Linked DNA regions of Schizosaccharomyces pombe. The main gene of each other region encodes a partner of the protein of the gene in region 2 in a complex. Each region holds a gene or a part of one and is shown on either strand. Other genes may lie near its edges.

The links. Proteins that work in one complex are often made in the same cells at the same time.
Region 1: usp102 (region 2) and usp101 share a complex: the UniProt entries of both Schizosaccharomyces pombe proteins name them as parts of the spliceosome.

The regions. Positions count from the first base shown.
Region 1 is NC_003424.3:2,460,651-2,464,011, forward strand, and holds usp101 (U1 snRNP-associated protein Usp101), read right to left. Parts: upstream 1,533-3,361; 5' UTR 1,485-1,532; coding exon 699-1,484; 3' UTR 501-698; downstream 1-500. Other genes in the region: pth2 (aminoacyl-tRNA hydrolase), read right to left, coding at 1-307; mRNA-decapping complex catalytic subunit Dcp2, read right to left, coding at 2,076-3,361. UniProt on the Schizosaccharomyces pombe protein: Involved in nuclear mRNA splicing. Essential for growth.
Region 2 is NC_003423.3:3,422,722-3,427,440, forward strand, and holds usp102 (U1 snRNP-associated protein Usp102), read right to left. Parts: upstream 1,759-4,719; 5' UTR 1,511-1,758; coding exon 1,390-1,510; exon of another isoform or gene 1,337-1,389; coding exon 1,067-1,336; exon of another isoform or gene 1,010-1,066; coding exon 651-1,009; 3' UTR 501-650; downstream 1-500. Other genes in the region: ESCRT II complex subunit Vps25, read left to right, coding at 1-36, 92-240, 285-473. UniProt on the Schizosaccharomyces pombe protein: Involved in nuclear mRNA splicing.

The DNA.
Region 1 (3,361 bases), on a different chromosome or scaffold from region 2:
TGCCTAAATCCGTCCTAACGACCAATACCATTTTAGTTTGTCCTTCCGCCAATGCAAGCGCAGCCAAACTGCTGTTTCCTTTCAGCATATCTAAAAGTTCAGTTTCGGACTCGCTGTCTTCATCATTGCTAACAGAAACAGGACTTTCTTTTTCTGGGTTAGATGCTTTGTTGGCATTTTTGGAACTATAACCTCTTGATGCATCTGCTACACTGTATTTGCGTCCGATCATAAACCCCACTACAGCGCCGACAAGTACTGCTGCAGGAAAGGAGGAGATCATGAAATTTACGAAAGGTACTTTCATAACTACTATGAAATTATAATGTCAAAATAATTATGTGTGCGAAACTTAAGAGCTAAGAAACATAATATATACCGGCAACATCATTAAATTGATGTAGTGAAGCGCAACATACTCCTCTCAAAACTATTAATTTGTTTCACAAAATTAATAATGATGCATTCAGAGAAATTAATATTAAATTTCATTAAAAGAACGAAGAAGGATATCTCATATATGTGTTTGAAAAGTTTGACTGACCAGAAGCCAACTCATGGTACTTATTTAAATTTAGGCGTCTCCAATCTTCTATGCGCTTCTCCATTTTAACATGATAACTCGAAGAAAGAATGAGTAATCAAGAGTATACAAAAAATTATGTTTAGCGTTAACATTGAAGTGAGACTTTCTAACATCAATTGTAGCGACGACGCTTAGGGGAACTATCTCTTCCTCCATAGTCTGAAGAGTGAGAGGAGCGAGTAGGACCACGACCAAATCTTGACCCTCCTCCAGAAGATTTTCGAAATCCTCCTCGATAGCCACCACGAAATCCAGAGTCGCCACGAAATCGGGATCCCCGTTCCCGTCGCGGCCTTTCTTTTGTATAATGTCGCCCGCCAAGTCCACCACCTAACTTACGCGGTAGCCATCCTTTTACAGTTCTACCTCTTTCGACATCGACCACTATCCGCCTTCCATTTAGCATCAAACCAGCTGATGCTTTGTAAGCAACTTTTAAATCTCGTTCCCTTTCAAACACAACAAATGCATATCCCATTGATTTTCCTGTAACTTTATTACGAACAACTCGTATGCGCTCGATAGGCCCATATCGAGTAAATTCTCGTTCAATATCGCTTTCCTTGGTATCATAGCTTAACCGAGAAAGAAACATAGTTTTATATGGATCTCCAATGACATGGCGATCGTGATCAGGATCCCATACCTTAATCATGGACCGTAATCTTTCTCGTTGCTGTTTTTGTTTCTCGTCTCTAAGACGCAAACGCTTTTCTTCCAAGCTTTCAGTCGGGTGATATTGTTGATCGTGAGACTGCGCATATTTCAGATATTTTGCTATGCCTGAAACGCGAGGTGTTGAACGTTTCTCAGGAGGCACATCCATAGGAGGCAGATACCTCAATGGGGGACGTGGAGCAAACAATGCAAGTAGAGGAGCCGGTAATTTTTCAGCCATTCTATATGAATTGTTTTTTTTTATTTAGAAGTGTGTGGGTGCAATGCTGTGTAGGGTATATCCCAGTAAAGCGATATTGCCTGTATAATAAGTGCTATGTGGGGGCGTACAGTACAATTTTTTCGCTTATTATTAAAATATGTAAGCAAATTATATAGTCATATTTATTTGACATAAAAGGGAAGCAAATATGTATTTACCCTATGAATAAACCTAGTACACGCATGGGCTGCATCAAAAGGAAACCTCATAATTTTAAAGGACGAAAAGCCTCACCAGCTAATAAAAGTTAGGGAAATCCTTATTTCAACGTTGAATTCATGCATGATTAAAACGACAACAACAGAACATTGAGTAGACCGTTATTCTCAACAAAAAGTGATAGAAAAAAATGAAAAGAGCCACTAGATTAACTCAGTGTTCAACATTAACATCTAAGTCTCATTTAAAGTCAGTAGTCTTGATATTCATTAACAATTTGAATGTAAAACGAAAAATAAACATTAAAGGAATAACTTTAGAAGAGAATACCATATGTGTATTACACAGTCGTTCATTAGTTTCTAATGCAATGCCAATTAGAATAACAAATTAATGAAGACCATTGGAGTTAGAAGACACGACAGATTGTAAATATGACAGAAAATGATCATCAGACCCTTTGAAATCGGATTCCTGGGTATCTTCCTTTTTTTGATCTGCCAAAGGCGAACGTTTTAAAATCTTAACGAAACCAGGACTCATATCAACATGGTTTTTGTTGGTTTCCGAATTCTCCTTCTTCTTTCTATTTTTCAATTTTGATTGCGATAATTCGTTTCGTTTAGGAGGAACCTCAGACTTTTGTTGCGGAGATACTTTTAGTAAATCAAACTGATTAGCGGCTTCTAGTGGCTCATCATTTCTGGGAATACGAAGTGTCTTCTTTAACAAATCAGTGCTTTTGCTGTAGTTTTTGACCTCCAACTCCTTTACCTGACTGGAAGCTTTGCGTTCGTTATTCTGTGATTTATTTTGCAAATCGTTTGCAGGAGTAGGCAATCCAGATTTAAGAAGTGTAAGTAAACTTAACGAATCAGATGTCTTTTTCGGTGTTTCCTCTTTTGTTTCGGTTGCGGATGGATGTAAGAGAGCTTGAAGTAATTGTGCGGAGTGTACAGAATTGGCGTTAGGATTATTACAACTTTCACCATGCAAATTATCTGATATTTCCTCTCCTTGACTATTGTCAGAAAATTTCTTTGTCTCTAATGAATTAGGCGTCAAAAAAAGATTCGCTAATTGAACATTTGCCTCTTTGCTTAACGTAGAAGATGAGGGTGTCGTATCCTGCTGAGAGAGCATACTTAATAACCTTTTTGAATTTGAGTCTCCTTCCGAATTATATGATTGACCTGAGTTATCGGAATTTCGAGCTAAAAACTGAGTCTGAGATTGAAAAGGAGGAAGAGAAGAAATTTGTTGAGTCTGATGACCATTTACATAGGGAGAAGAAGATCCGTATGCTGGTTGCGGAGTTTTGCCTAAACCATAGGAACTAACGGAAGTCGAAGTGGGAGGATAAAAAACTTGATGATAAACAGTACTTGGCGAGGGCAATTCCATTGGAGAAGGCATGTCGCTAGCGGCAAATAAATGCTGAACAGAATTTTGGTCTTTAAGTAAATTTGAATACATACTCTGCTGAAAGTGATTATTCAACACAGGTTTATTAGTTAACATGTTGTTTTGAGAAACAACTCTTGGAAAAGAAGCAGATGGATTTTTTGGATCCAATCCAAGGTAAGCAAAAGGATCGAAACTGTTATTATCATGCGATAAACGAGAATTGCTGCTTTGAATGGGGGGATTAAGAGGAAGGTTCGACACAGGAGGAA
Region 2 (4,719 bases):
TAGAAAGTTCTTTGCTTCATAACAGTACAATTCATAGTAAGAAAACTCTTTGTATTACTCCTTAGTGCTAACTTTCTTTCTTACCAAATAGGAACGCTGCCTCTTTCGGTGTTTCGAGAAATAGTAGAGGATATGGTGAAACAAAACCTAGCAGAATGGACTGAAAAGCGAAATCCTAAAGACGTGTTTTGGGTATACTGGAGGTCTATATCTGAATGGGGGAATATGATCTTGAAATGGGTAAGCCATTTTCTGCATAGTCGAAAGTACTAATTGTTTTACAGCTATCCGATATGGGACGAGAAGGGTCTATATGTACATTTTACGAACTTCAAGAACAATATAAAGAGGTAGATTGTTTAGACGAAGTACTCCTCCATAAAGTTCTTGAGCTACTAATGAAAAAAGGAAATATCGAATTAATGAAAGGATCGTCTGGAAAATATAGCGGGTTCAAGGTACTGAAAGCTTAACATAATTACATGCTTGATATACATAATTTTGGGCCTGCAAAATTGCATTATATAATTTATATACACAAATGATCAATTATGAAAATGATAGGAGCTTTATATATTTCGAAAGGTGACTTTTGGATGATTATTGCAACAAAAATTTGAAAGAGGGAATTAAAATAGTTGCAGAATCAACTACGAGGCCTTCCGAGCGAATGTTACCTTTATTTGATTTCCACTGAGGGACATACCTGTTGTCCCATTTTTTGCGACCGTTGCTTCTCTATCAGAATCGTATTCAACAAATGCAATTCCTCTTCTACCGGGAACCATACGTACTTCTTGAAATCCAGAAAACGCTTCGAAAATTTGTGTAAGGACGTCTGCGTTTACTTCTTGAGGGATATTTTGTAACAGAAGTACCTTATTAGGAGGCAACAAATCTTCATTAATTGTCGATTTACGCTCAGCTCCAACATTACGTTTAGGAACCGGCTTTTTATGAGTGGGTTTGGGAGCTGCGGGTTGAAGAGCGCTAGTCCGTTTAAGCATTTCTATAATATAAGGTTAGTAAAGTGAGGTCTTTGATTTTAGAATAAAAAAGATTATACCTCTCCTATTTTTCCTATCTTTTTTCCTAGTTTCTATTTCTTCAGGAGATTCTCTTTGTACGATAATATCGCTTTTAGATTTACTGTACTGTATCATCATGGGCTTTCCATACAAAGGGTATCCTTGTAAATCCTTTAACGCTCGTGACGCGTTCTCCAAGTTGTCGAATACTACAAATGCTTGACCGCGCATTCGCAAAGTCTTTCTTGCTTGAACATCTATGACTTTACCATAAGACCCAAAGAGATGTTCTAAAATTCGTTTCAACACTACGATTGTTAGAAATTAAATTAAATTAAAACAATTTAAATTAGTGGCATACTAGTAAGACGAATTTTTTCTTCAATGTTGCGTATGTAGAGAGTCTCTGACGGTGTTTGAGAGTCTGTCTCTTTAGGAGATGGTTGTTGAACCTCTTGATGCGAATTTGTTTGAGGATCCATTGGATGTTAAATATAAAAAGATATTCACAGTGAATTTCGGCACTAATGTTATGATGAATCAAAAAACACGAGTATTTAAAAATTGGAAGACAATCCAGCTTATGGCATTAAATTCCAGCTAATTACCAAAAGAAGTAGTCTTTCAGGTACCACCTTGTTTTAGTAAATATGGCTCGTAATGGTTGACTTTACATTCAATTTCAAAATGTAAATTATAGCCAGCATTAATATTTCGTTGGATGTATTCTAAAAGCGCTTGTTTTCAAAATACAGTACTCTAATGTACCAAATATCAAATGGAGAGAAACACTCCTTATCCAAGTTAAAGATCGCGAAAGGAAGAACTTCAATAAATGGACGTAGTTTTAACACGATAACGCATCGCTATGTTTGACCATGTTGTTGCTCATTAATCTTGTTTTCAGTTGCAGAAAAAGTTACGAATGCTTGAATAGTGAATACGATAATCTGTACAATAATTCAGTTTGCCTTGTATTTTGTTACAATATGGTACAAATCCTTATATAATTTACGAGATACCTAGGTAAAAGAACCGAGTTTATGCGTTAATGATTTACCGTGCAGACAAATTTTGAACGCGCAAACAAAAGAATAAAAATTTTATAAACAACAATTGATTTAGTTACTGAAAGAGAGCGTTTACCCAAAGTAAAGAAAATGATATAAATATTGTTATTTGTAAACTGTGGATAATATGGGAATCGATGGTGTACTGGACGCGCAAATAACGAATTTTACGAGCCGTCCTATTAAGAAATACAACAGCCGAGAACAGAAGAGCAGTCACAAACCATTTTTTATTCCACAATATTAGATTGTATTAACACAAATAAAATTTTTTTTTCAAGGCATTCTCTACAATATCGAAGACATTCAACGTATAAAGGTTAGTCTTGATTCAAATACTTACCCTTGTAATTTCAATTTAATGTTAGACAAAGTTATTGCCCCAACGTCTCTGGAAAACGCGGATGCAAATTGTGGAGGAGGCAGAACTGGAAAAAGTATCAGCCAATCATCAACATGTCTGAAAAAAAATTCCAAGATATTTCTAAGCCTAGCTCGTAAAAACGGGTGACAAGACATGTATGGCGCTATCGAAGTACGAAAATAGAAAATTGCCAGACGATATTAGAGTAAAAGACACAAAAAGAATTTCATTTATTCACCCTATTATAATTTTTCAGCTTTCATCAATGTATGCGTACTAACTAAAAAAATTATCGGTGGTCATTTAAAAACAACAAAACCATCCAGCATTCATCACATGTCTTTCATCCAATCAAATGTAGTTATAGCTATTATCGTCCAATAGATTGCAGAGGCGGGATCAAAATCCCCTTAGGCAAAATTGGTAGGCTTCTCCACAGTTTTTCTCAGACTTGGGAAGAATGGAGCGGGGTAGGGAAATATAGCAAGACCCTGTCTTACAATGATTGGGCAAAAGCTTCACATATATGGGAGCAATATATGTACAATAGGCGCTTTTCACGGACATAGCAAACCTTGTTAGTAATGAGTTGGGCGTATTTAAGGAGGTCCCAAGGCCTCAAAAGTCGTTTACCAAGTTCATAACTTTTTAGGGACTACGTTAGTTAGCGATGAATTAGTGATGATTTAGTGTGCAGCGTTTACATTTTCTTAACACAGACAATTGCAGTACGGGTTACAGCTCCATATTTCTTCTATAGTCCGAATGAAGTATGGGCGTACACGTAATCAAGGGATAGAAGTATCCTTTTACACCGAACTGTTCAAGAGCGAATATATCGCTTGAGAATTCTGTTTTTTTTTGAAAAGGTTCATTGTCCATCCATATTTACCTTCTTGTTAGGGAGTCTCGCTAGGATGGTTGGTGTCGCGGTCGATGTATGGTCTCCAGGTTGGGGGCCCCTAGCTATCCTGACTTGGATAGGACAGAGATAAGATACACGTTGCGTGACGTTTTCTTAAAAAAAAAGAGCACGGCTATGCTCTATTCATGTTACTAGTTAATACTAGAGGAACTCCGCATTTAGGTTAGTTCCGTTATGGACTCGAATATGTGGAGCTCGAGAATGCAAGCAATCGAAATTTGAAGGATTATGGTTCCGTAACGTTAATTGTTCTATTGCCAGCTTTGAGATAGTCATGCAGCGATGAGAGTATGCTGTGTTTTAAACTTTGATATTTGCTGGTTCCAATACGTATGGCCACCATTGGTATTATTTTTTCGCCTTGCGAATTAATTTTACTGCAGACACTTTACTTCTTTTGCCTCAGGAAACGTTTTTTTGTGTTCAATCTTGATTTAACGATATGAGGAGTATAGAAATATACTTGGTTTTTTCGGTTACTTTGCTAAAATTATTGACGTTGGAATACACTCTGTATTTGCTAGCAGTCCGAACTTGCAGCCTCGGTCGCCAAAGTATTTAAATTTACTTTACTTTTGAGAATTATTCCTACATCACATTTATTGAAAGTCGTTTTTTCATCCTGTTATCGGCTTTCTACCTCACTAATAGTGTCTTTCCCCAGTATATGCATCAGTTTCATTACGTACAGTGTATCATTTTACGATTGAATTTTTTTTTTTGCTATGGAGAATTAATGATATCGTGACATTTTTACCTCGTTCTTGACTTTCAACGAGCTGTTGATCCTCGTCATACACGTCGTTTAAATTCTATTCCACATCTTATTCGTTCTTATTTGTGTGTGACTGCGTTTTTTTAAGTCGGCGTCCAATGATACAAGAGTTTGCTAACTACCTTGTTGCCCTTGTAATATTGTGACGTATAACCAAAAACTCTCCGGCGATCCTGTCTAAAATTTCACTGAAAGCAAAGGACTTTTGATACTTTTGTCGGGGTTTCTCTTCCCGAATTTAGTATAAAAGCTGCCCTCTTGACTGTTAAAATCTTTACCTAGACCTATTCTTGCTTTTTAAGTGCAAGAGCAACTTTAGTCTTCATTTACCTAAAAATCCTTTCTTTTTTTGGTTAAACAAGAACGAAATCCAAAGAAAGCTCAATAAAAGCATTGTGCTTTCCTTGGTTACCCTTTCTTTATACCGATTTTGAAAATACAAGCTCTCTGTGCTTGAAAATCATAATCTAGATTAATTTTTCTTTTAATTTTTATTTATTGAGAATCTCTTGTCAAGATCTCTAACTCATAAACTGTCTGTTCTTTGTTCTATCATT